Sus scrofa: one gene and its partners. The main gene of each other region encodes a partner of the protein of the gene in region 2 in a complex. Links are inferred from orthologs where the notes say so. Each region holds a gene or a part of one and is shown on either strand. Other genes may lie near its edges. The genes, in order: EED, EZH2 and AEBP2.

What was found.
Region 1: the proteins of EZH2 (region 2) and EED are in contact, whole or in part, in a cryo-EM structure (PDB 8VMI), measured with the Homo sapiens proteins. The link is inferred for Sus scrofa from reciprocal best matches to the Homo sapiens genes EZH2 and EED. Residues at the interface, in NP_001190176.1 of Homo sapiens: Arg34, Glu37, Val38, Lys39, Met41, Phe42, Ser43, Asn45, Arg46, Ile49, Arg52, Thr53, Ile55, Leu56, Asn57, Glu59, Trp60, Lys61, Arg63, Arg64, Ile65, Gln66, Pro67, Val68, His69, Ile70, Leu71, Glu82, Cys83, Ser84; in NP_003788.2 of Homo sapiens: Val85, Asn86, Ser87, Leu88, Lys89, Glu90, Asp91, Trp103, His104, Ser105, Lys106, Glu107, Asp109, Pro110, Val112, Arg120, Thr122, Leu123, Tyr124, Glu125, Gln129, Gly130, Glu131, Ile132, Arg133, Leu134, Leu135, Gln136, Ser137, Tyr138.
Region 3: the proteins of EZH2 (region 2) and AEBP2 are in contact, whole or in part, in a cryo-EM structure (PDB 8VMI), measured with the Homo sapiens proteins. The link is inferred for Sus scrofa from reciprocal best matches to the Homo sapiens genes EZH2 and AEBP2. Residues at the interface, in NP_001190176.1 of Homo sapiens: Ser76, Leu77, Arg78, Gly79, Thr80, Thr100, Asn102, Ala103, Val104, Ala105, Ser619, Asp620, Val621, Ala622, Ile739, Glu742, Met743, Glu744, Ile745, Pro746; in NP_001107648.1 of Homo sapiens: Lys382, Leu383, Lys384, Asn385, Arg387, Arg388, Ser390, Leu391, Pro392, His395, Asp399, Ala400, Gln401, Asp404, Ala405, Arg407, His408, Ile411, Cys412, Leu415.

What each region holds. Positions count from the first base shown.
Region 1 is NC_010451.4:20,153,873-20,156,682, reverse strand, and holds part of EED (polycomb protein EED), read right to left. Parts: intron 164-2,810; coding exon 5-163; intron 1-4. UniProt on the Homo sapiens protein: Polycomb group (PcG) protein. Component of the PRC2/EED-EZH2 complex, which methylates 'Lys-9' and 'Lys-27' of histone H3, leading to transcriptional repression of the affected target gene.
Region 2 is NC_010451.4:109,383,726-109,387,815, reverse strand, and holds the start of EZH2 (histone-lysine N-methyltransferase EZH2), read right to left. Parts: upstream 2,801-4,090; 5' UTR 2,678-2,800; intron 2,654-2,677; exon of another isoform or gene 2,630-2,653; intron 1-2,629. UniProt on the Homo sapiens protein: Polycomb group (PcG) protein. Catalytic subunit of the PRC2/EED-EZH2 complex, which methylates 'Lys-9' (H3K9me) and 'Lys-27' (H3K27me) of histone H3, leading to transcriptional repression of the affected target gene.
Region 3 is NC_010447.5:53,635,904-53,639,628, reverse strand, and holds part of AEBP2 (zinc finger protein AEBP2), read left to right. Parts: intron 1-1,810; coding exon 1,811-1,997; intron 1,998-3,725. UniProt on the Homo sapiens protein: Acts as an accessory subunit for the core Polycomb repressive complex 2 (PRC2), which mediates histone H3K27 (H3K27me3) trimethylation on chromatin leading to transcriptional repression of the affected target gene.

The DNA of each region.
Region 1 (2,810 bases), about 89 Mb from region 2:
CTACCTTTTGCCAGAAATCCATAGAAAACCTCATGTACCAAATGTCACACTGGCTGTAATCAAATCGCCCAAGAATAGTCACATTAGACTCACTGGGTTTAATTTTATCTATATCATCTTCCATTTTGCCAGGTTTCCAGCACACAATGGCGTTTTCACAAGACTTTAAAAAAGAGAGAAATGGGAAAAAAAGAATTGTTACTTGGAGAACTGAATTTTAAACATAAAAAACAAAGCTTTTTCTCTACATCATTTTAGAATTGACAGCTTTTAGAACCTGGTTATCCATCTACTGAGTACAGTGATATACGATCATGTATATTCACAAAGTCAGTGTTGGACAAGAGGTCTAATTACCAACAGATTTTAATAATAACAAAAGCATTACACTGTTTGGAATATTTATTTTTGAAGTCACAATTTCTTTCCCAAACCACACCAGACTGAGTTCTGGATACTTTAGCATCCAGAGACTTGAAGTGTTTTATAGTAAAGGTAAAATTATAAACATTGTATTAGAATACACAGCTCTTCAACATGGCCCCTGCTTATTTCACTCTTTTCATCTTTCCCAATTCCACTTCTAACTCCCTTCCCCCCTTCTGTGGTTCCTCTTATCTGGTTAACTATTGATCCTTCATTCCTGGTGTCTCCACTACATGGTAGATGCTCAACAAACATAGGAAAGCTAATGAATGCCTAGAAAGGGCCTTAGAGATGGAATTATATAGAAGGCAATAAAAGCAGTGGTTCAATGTCAGGAAACTGATAAAGGGATGGGATTGAAATAGCTGAGTTACACCTTCACTATCCTGCAACAATGAACCTTTACATGTATTCCACTTAAGCATCAAGTGGTAAAAAATACAATGGGGAAAAATGCAAAACAGAGGGCACTATTTATATCACTGTATAGATTTAGTGGTTTGCCGATTAAGGAATATTTGGCAATGTCTCTGGCTTCTAGTCAACAGAGGCCAGAGATGCTGAACACCTCAAAATGCACAGAACAGTTCCTCCCACAAAAAAATAATTCTCTGACCCAACCTCAATAGTGGTAGGATGGAGAAATTCTGGTGTACATGAAGAGTGCCTCTTGGAATTTTACAGGACACAGCCTACACAACCATATGTGGTAGCTCTGTGGGGTTCTCTGGCATTTAAACAGTTTTCAGCAGGGCCACTGGGAGGTCAGGGAGTAAACCTGACCTGAATGTGCTTTTTTTCTTCTCTGCCTTTTTTAGATTGTATAACATCCCAGGTCTATAGATCTGCTATGCAAGTTCTTTACTCTAAGTACCCTAGCTATCACCTAGTCTGATGACTCTTAACTCAAGTGCACAATTTGATTAATAGCCTGTAGACCTTTCCTTAAAAACACACGTTGGCCTCAACCCTATTAAGTCAGAATCTTTGGGAGGGAAGGCCAAGGCAGCAGAATTGTAAAATGGTTCTTCAAGTGCTTCTTACTGACGATACTGGTAAAGGATTCTGAATGAGTGGAGTCCCCCCATGGAGAACTAAAACATAGGGAGGTAAAAAAAATTTACCCACACTAATTAATGGATGGCTATACTTGCAAATCATCTGGAGTTCTTTTTCTTTAAATTACAAATTCTCAGGTCCTTGTGCCAGACTTAGAACCTCTGAGGATGAAGCCTAGGACACTATTTTTATAACATCCTCCCAACAGTTCTGAGGCAGAGCCAGATTTGAGACCACCAATATCCAGTTTAACTTCCCATCAGAAAGGCAGAAATCCTTTCCTTTCTGAAATCTAATTAAGTTCTAAGAGCAGAAATATTAGTTACTGCCTTTTTACTTCTGCTTCTAAAACAAATTGAGTATTTTCCCCTATTTATCTTACCAAGCACAGCTTAAAAATCTGAAGGGTGGAGAGGAGGCAGACTGGTTTAGGGACCCTGGGACAAGAAGGACGCTGAATTCCTTCATTTTCTTCTGCATCCTTTATGTATCCCAGAGTGGATGCTACCTACCTATAGAAGGTGGCAACTCAACAATGCTAACAAGTGAAGACCAGAAGAAGCCCCAACAAAGGCCTGCTTTCTGCAGAGGATCCGGAAAATGGCAACTTAGCATAAGAGTAAATTTTCAGATAAACACTTAATAGCACAGGAAACACTTTGGATCCACCCACTTGTGACCTAGCAAAGTCCCAGTGGGGATCCCTTCTCAGGTGGTAACTAAGTAAATACTTCAAGCACCTAACACCCTGACTCCTCCCTACCCCTCACTATGAGGTGACTCCTCCTTCTCTCCAGCTGGAGTGGTATCAGAGGAGGCCTAGCAAAGAGTCAGGATGTTTATTTACAACCACCCATCACTCTCAGTTATAAGTGGGGACCCCATGGGGTAGTAATGAGGCCTCCCAGTCCCTCCCAGTGAGGGTGGTGTCACCTGAGGCCCAGTGAAAAGCCTGAACTCTCACCTCAGTAGTCATGAGATAGCATCACCAAGTCAATCAAGTGGGGAAACTGGACTTACTCATGCCACCTGCCAACCATAAAGAAGCACGCCCCTTCCCCAGGTGAAAATTTATCAGAGGCAGCCTGCTATAAGAGCTCTAAATAAGATCCAGAGTTTTGCAACAGTACACAAAATATCTATCTCAATCAAAATTCACTTTGTTATACCATGAAATATAAAAATCTCAACTTTAATGAGAAAAGATAATCAAGAGATACTACCACTAAGATGACACAGATGTTAGAACTATATGACAAGGATTTTTTCCCCCCAGGCCTGCGGCATGTGGAAATTCCTAGGCCAGGGATCAATCCTGTGCCACA
Region 2 (4,090 bases):
CAAATCCACTGGTCATTTCTAATTAACCCCAGAATGCATGAGATCAGAGGATTTTTTTATTGCTGTTGATTTTTTAAAAAATCAACTTTCTTAATTACCGCTTTTTAGGCCAAGATGGAAACTAATTCGTTCTCCTTAAGCATGCCAGCTCAAAGGATGGAAGATATCCTAGAAAGCCTCAGTGTAACCTGGGGAAATCTGCCTAAAAATTTTAAGTGGCCAACACAAAGACAATCACCTATATGTATGTGTGCAAGGCAAAGCTGATATCAAAGTATTACAGCTTTTTTGTGTGCCTAACTTCACTAAATCAACAAGTGTGGTTTTTTTAATCACTGCTACTTAAATACATTTTCAAATCAAATAAAAAATTAAAAACCAATTCCCCCAAAAAAACTTAAAAATAAATCTTGTGGCAACTACAAAGACAGTAATTGCCAAATATAGTGTACACAAACAAGTAAGGAAAAACTGCAATTTCTTATCCTAAAAGATCCAAATATCTACCAAAATCTCCCTAACTAGCTCATCTTATAACAAGAGGCCAGATTATCAGGAGGACTTTTTAATAGATAATTACTAGCAACTAATACAGTAAACAATACTTAGGACAGCACCTGGAATGTCTGTTCAGCGGTGTCTAACACTGCAAAATATGTAATAAAGACTTTTACACTGCATTTCTTTGTCTCCATATTTATGAAACCGTAAGATGGTAGGGTGAACATTAGATCATCAGATAGAACAATGCAAATCGGTGCTATGTTCCTAAATTCCTCTTCTTTGAAGATATTCCCCTGCCACAAAGACTAGAATTTAAGATGCCATTTTCCTAAGTGTTTTCAAGAACTTAAGCATTAAATTCCCAAATACACCACCACAAAGAGAGAAAGGATTCTTTACATCCAGGACTAGAACCCTACCTACTCCTAACTTTAGGTAATATGAAAAGGAAATTAAAATAGGTCATAAATACTTTCATTTTCTTGAAATAAAATTATCAATAAACTTGTTAGGATTACACACTTGTTCTACATTTTATTTCCAAACATAAAATAGTTGCTAACGGTGATGAATGAAGAGTAGTGGAAAATAAACTCCAAACCCCCTAGCTCCCTGGTGGTCTAATGGTTAGGATCCCACACGCTCTTAAAATCCCTTAGAAGTATAGCCTACATTCAACTGTATCAGCATTAGTGTTTTTTAAAGATTTTCTTAAATGGTGTTTTATGTGACATTAAAAAGCCACAAAATTAATCCGATAAATGACCTTTAAAACCCAGAAAGTAAACCTTGAAGTAAAATATTTTTAAATACCAAAGACATATCTTTGTTTCCAAATGACTTAAATTTTACAGATCCTGTGTGACAAACAAAGGAAGTTTAGCTTAACTGTGGACAGCACACGTTCAATTTCTTAGGCAACAAACATTTCTGTAGTCAGTCTTTTCTGACTCAACAAAGCTATTGTTCACGGAAAACAAGACCAATTAATGACGAATTGCTAACCAGACCACCTAAACACACATTTGTCATAAACATTTTGCTTGATCAATTCTTTCTACCATCGCATCCTCATTCAATCCCTGGGGATTTGGAGAATAATCTCTTACTAAATGACAGTTGATTTCGTTAGCACCTGTCGCCAGTCTCAGATGTATCACATAAGTTGGCCGAAAGAGCATGTAATTTTTTAAAAAAAATATGATTCTTTAGAAAGCGGGAACTCAGCAGGCGTGAGTTCACCAAGTTTTCATTTCAAAATATCATGCTTCTCGATTCCTCCAATTTTCAAAAAGGGACCTGATGGCACCGACTTTTTTTGGGGGGGTGGACAATGACGCGGAAACTCGACGAAAAGCCCTCCGAAACGAACAAAACCGAGCGGGGGGAGAACGGCTCGACCCTTCCTCAAACTTAACAGAAAGCCAGCCGAGGGGGTAAAGGCGGCCGGGACCGCCTCGTCAGAGCGGGTGGAGACGAGGGGTTCGGGGGTGCTTTCCGGGGAAATGTCAGACCCGCAGCCGCTCCGAGTTCGGTTCCCAGCGCCGCCCCGGCCCCCTCGGCCCCGGCCGAGCCTGCGCGCTCGCGGGGAGGGGGCGTGGGGCCCAGCCCGCCCCCTGCGCCGCGGCCCGCGCTCCCCACGCCCCTCTCCCGCCCGCTGTCAGGCCCGGGTGTCACTGCCCCTTCCCCGCGCCGAGCTCCCCCGAGACACAGTCCGTCCTTTGTCTGAGTGTGCACTCGGTGCCGAGGTCCCACCAACTTGTGTGCGTCCCGTCCCACCCGGGCGCTCCCGCCGCGACGCTCCACACAAAGGAGACAGGGGCTCGGGCGGCCGGCCCGCCCCGAGCACCGGAGCGCCCCCAGCCCAGCCGCCGCGCCTCCCGAAGGGCGGGCGCGCGAGAAGACCCCTCGGCTCGCCCCCCAGGGCGCCCGCCCGGGGTCCCGCCTTAGGTCGCCAGGTGCGGCGCTGCCCGCCCCCGCGGTCGCGCGGGCCAGCCCAAAGCCACGGCCCCTTCCGAGGGGTCTCCTCTCACCCCTCCAGCCAAAGCGGCGCCCCGGGAAAGCCCGCTCTGGGCGATACCCGGAGGGGTGGCGGGGATATCCCGGCGCCGCCGCCGCCCCTCACCGAGCTTCGGAGCCCCGCTGGCCGGCCGGCCCGACAGCGGCACGCTACCTGAGCCCCGCGCCCCAGCCCGCTCCGCTCCCGCGCGCCGCTCCCGCGCGCCACCACCGCCGCCGGGCTTCCACCGCCTTCTGCGTCCCAGTGGGTGTCGGACGCTCCCGGACCAAGCGCCAAACCCGGCAGCCCAATCGCCATCGCTTTTATTTGGCCCCCCCTGTCCAACTAAGCGCCGCCCCGATTGGCGGGCCGCGAGGCGGGCTCCCGTCCAATCACAAGGCCCGCCGGGCTCCGTGGCGGCGAGCCAGCCCCACGCAGAGGAGCCCGCGGGACTCAGCCGGGCCGGGCCGGCGGCGCGTGCGCGCGAGCGGGCGGGCGCTGAGGGACGCGGCCGCCGAGTGGAAGCGCTGCGCCGTCTCTTTGTTCTTTCGCCGAACGCACGGCGCCTCTCAGGAAGGCGGTGGGTCGGCTGGCTGGGACGATGGGGCCTCTGCAGCCCGAATCCCGGGCCGCGGGCGGGAGGCGGCCAGGGCAGGATGGCGGGAACCGACCAGGGGGCGGGACGGCGCGCTCGCGGCGCTTGGCGGGAACCGCCGGCAGCCTCAGAGTTCCCGGGCCGGAGGGGCGGGGCGGGGCCGATAGCCAAGTTTGAACCAGTTCAAAACTCGGGGGTGGTAACGGTTTCAACTGCCGCGCTCTTTTCCCCGCGCGCGGAGCCGAAGCGCAGGCCGGCCGGCGGACGCGCGCGAGGTACCCCGATTGCCGGCCAGTTACGCTCTGCGGTCCGGGCTCCAATCTGGTTCGTTTCGGGCGAGGAGCCCCGAGCCTTTCGCGGTCTGGTCGGACTGGCGCGCCGCCTCCGGTGCGAGCAGAGCGCTCTGCCAGCTACTTTTTCTGCTAAGCCCCTCAGTGGCTTGGCCCGACTCAGATCCCCTGGCCCGCTGGACTTTGGTTGGTCGAGGCCGCAGTGCCCATCTCCTTAGAAACCTGGGAAACAGCAGCCCTACTGTTATTTCAGTTTCCTCATTCTGAGCGCCTTGTTCGGCACCTTCCAGCGTTTGTAGTTCCAAACACGTGTCAACGTTAATCATTTATCAGGGGTGAGTGGGGTTCACTTGCCTCGAGCTAACGCCTCTGGAAAAAATTGGGATGATTGCAGCATCTTTCAAGTGTTAAAAAAAAAAATGATCTGCGGGTGAGCCTGTATCAACCCATAAGAATTAGAAATATTCTGTTTAGGATGCAGTTTCCCCTTTTAATTTATCTGACAGTGAAGGTAAGGTTATTCTGAATTTTCTTTTTTTTCTTTTTAGGGCCTCATCCGAGGCGTATGGAGTTTCCCAGGCCAGGGGTGGAATCCGGCCTACACCACAGCCACAGCAACTCAGGCTCCAAGCCGTATCTGCGACCTACTCCACAGCTCAACAAGGCCAGGGATCTAACTGCAACCTCAGGCATGGTTCCTAG
Region 3 (3,725 bases), on a different chromosome or scaffold from region 2:
TAGGGATGTGGAACTTCCTCGTATAACCTCTTATGTTGTTATATAGTATTGTGAATATGCCAAATGCCACTGAATTGTGCACTTAGATGTTAAACGTCTCATGATCAGAATCTGTAGCTGAACATTCTTGATGTAGGCTGAGGACCACACTATTGATAGGGTTGTTGTAAGAATTAAATGAATTATAAGCACTGGTTAGGACTTATTGCTTCTTTTCAAGGTTCCCATAGCACTCTGTGCCTTACCCCTGACTATAGGGCTTTGAAGTTGTTCCTTTCCATGCATATCTTGCTGATCATATGTAAGCTCTTTCAGGGCCAGAACTGTATCTTATTCATCCTTACACTTTTAGCATTTAGTGTAATATTGGACATAAAATAGTTAAGTCTATGAACTAAGATCTTGAGTTATTCCTCTCCCTCTCACTTAATGTGCACCTTAGAATGGGTAAAGATTTTTGTTAGTAATGCTGAATACAGTCCATGACATGTCTTTTGAATAGTGAAATAAGGAGAATAATACTAATAGCACTGTATAAGGATCTTGCTGTGAAATGTTTTCAGGCAGTATTGATTTTATCAGAATCTCTAAGCTAATATATTTAGAAACATTTATGAGTTGGGATAAGCTGTCTAGTAATACTCTGAAAGTATGAGCATGTCCTTGAAGGAAGGAAGATGAGCTCTCTTTCACATGGGCAGACTTAGACTTTATGAATAAAGCCATGGTCTCTACTAACAGGGTTGTATTGTGTTTGTAGAAGTTTGAAATAGTAGAGGTACCTAGGTTGAAATAAAGAGCCTGGAAGCATATGGATTTTTTTTGTGTGGTATAATCAAGAAAAATATGATTAAGTTAAACCACCTGGGAATAATGTGATTGATTTATTTGGTGGCAGGCAGATATGACAGATATGCATGCCTGGAGTTAGGTTGTCAAGCCAGGAACTAAGCAACTTGGATAAGTTACTAATTGAAAAGCCACTAGCAATCCAGTGCTGGATTTTGCTGTTTGGGGATCATTTTGGAAAATAGTGTTGGTTTTAATTAGTAACAGTCATTTGTTGGAAGATCTGCAAATATTATTTTCCTAAGATCTAACTAGACACAGACTTGTATTGTGACTCATTTGAGCATTGTGATTTTAGTGATATCCAAACATTCTGCACCCGTTGTTGAAATAGCAGATCTGACAGTTGACTTTCATAGTTAAGTTAAACCTTCTGTTTTCTCAATCTTGGCAGTACAGAAGGCTGAAGAGACTGTATTTAATGGAACTTATAGAGGGTTCCATAAGATTAAACCTGAACATAAGTTTTCTGAGACTAGACCCAGTAGTTTAAAAATCAGTATTATTGTATTTCTTTCCTATCTATTACAATAGCCAACAGTAGGGAGCTTGCTGAAGGTTTTAAAGTAGCATATGTCCTAAGATAAAAATGACTTTAAAAATCCAGGAATCCAGGTAATTGTTCGATTACATAATTTTTTGATCTAAAAACAGCTTATTGCTCCTCTTATATTTTTCTGGAAAGAAGAGCCCACTATTTTGTCTCGCATATAGTGGGAAAAGCAGTAAATTGGGGAGTCATGAAAATTTCTAGTCTGCCACTGCTTAATGTGAGTTATTTTGTCCAACTTACAAAATGAAAAGGTTGCTCCAGTCCCTCAGATTCTTTCTGGAATTAGTTCTGTAGTGTTACTGATAATACACTATTTATTTATTTCTGATAATACAAAATATTTACTCATTTGTATTTATACTTGTGTCCTATACAGAATCCCTGACATTCTTTTTTATTTTTATTTAGTGTGTTGTTGGTGGCTGCAATGCCAGCTTTGCTTCTCAGGGAGGGCTAGCTCGCCATGTACCCACACACTTCAGTCAGCAGAACTCCTCAAAAGTTTCTAGCCAGCCAAAGGCCAAAGAAGAATCTCCTTCTAAAGCTGGAATGAACAAAAGGAGGAAATTAAAGAACAAAAGACGACGCTCATTACGTAAGTGTTTCACTGAAAATCATTATGTATTAGATGGCTGTTGTTTATATCTTGGGCTTTGGCTCATTCAGTTTTTACCATTCTTGAACTCTGCTTATCTATTTTTATTTTATTTTATTTTTTTTATTTTAGGGCTGCACCCTCGGCTTGTGGAAGGTCCTAGGCTGGGTTGATGGCCATAGCAACGCTAGATCTGAACCGCGTTTGTGACCTACACCACAGCTCATGGCAATGCTGGACCCTTAACCCACTGAGCAAGGCTAGGGATCGAATTCTCATCCTTATGGTTACTGGTTGGGTTCTTTACCGCTGAGCCACAACGGGAACTCCTGCTTATCTATTTTTGTTACCAGTAATGAACAGTAGGATCTTGGTCCATCAGTGTGAGTATTCAGTGATGTATGTCTTAACTGTAGTAGCTAAGGGAATGTAAGTATATGTGACCTTAGAATACAAGCTCTGTATAGAATTAGATTTTTGAGGGCTACTTCGATTCTTTTCTAAATTAAGACAGTTTGAATTAAGAGACTGTTGTTGTGTCCATCAAGATTTTATTTAGTAAAAGAAAAAATAATGGGCATGTATGTATGTATGTATGTATTTTTGGCCATAGTCATGCAGTGGCTTGATGGGGGATCTCAGTTCCCAGACCAGTAATTGAACTGCAGCTGTGGAAGTACTGAATCCTAACCACTAGACCACCAGGGAACTCCCCCAAATTTTTATAAAATTTGAACATGTTAAAAATTCAAGTAAAAGTGAAGTAACCTATCTGCTCCAAAGTGGTATATGTGAATAGCGAGACTGTGTATAGTTTGTGTCTCAGTGCTTAACAGTCTGATGTGACTCATGTGTACAGTGGTTATGTGCTTAATTACCAGACTGTGAGCTGTATCCTCAGCATTTAGGAGAGAACATTATTAGATTATTGTATACGTTTGAGCCACAGAAAAATAAGAGTCTCTATTTTTATGGTTTTCAAAGGGTTTTGATTGTATAGCTTATTAACTTAAGAAATGATTGAGTATCCAGCCCTAACTTGTGTATTTATATAGTGTATACACCTAGCCCTGCTAATGAATATTATAATTACCAAGAAGAAATATTGAAAAACCTCAATATGAAAACAGCAAAAACAGAACTTGATTTTATTTTCTTCCCTACCTTAATGGATCATGACCCACGCCACTTTGGAGACTGTTCTAGTTCAGTATCCTTTTTTCCCCCTTTTTTGTCTTTTTTAGGGCCACATCCATGGCATATGGAAGTTCTAGGCTAGGGGTCACATCAGAGCTACAGCTCCTGGCCTACACCACAGCCACAGCAGCACTGGATCTGAGCCACATCTGTGACCTACACTGCAGCTTACGTCAATGCTGGATCCTTAACACACTGACCCATGAGGATCGAACGTGCATCCTAATGGATACTAGTTGGGTTTGTTTCCACTGAGCCACAACTAAACTCCCTAGTTAAGTATTCTTTTTTTTTTTTTTTTTTTTTGTCTTTATAGGGCCATACCCGGGGCATATGGAGGTTCCCAGGATAGCATTCAATTCAGAGCTGTAGCTCCTGGCCTGTACCACAGCTGCAGCAATGCCATATCCAAGCCGAATTTGTGACCTACACCACAGATCATGATTCTTAACCTGAGCAAGGCCAGGGATTGAATCTGTGTCCTCATGGATTCTTAAGATTTGTTTCTGCTGAGCCACTTTGGGAACTCCC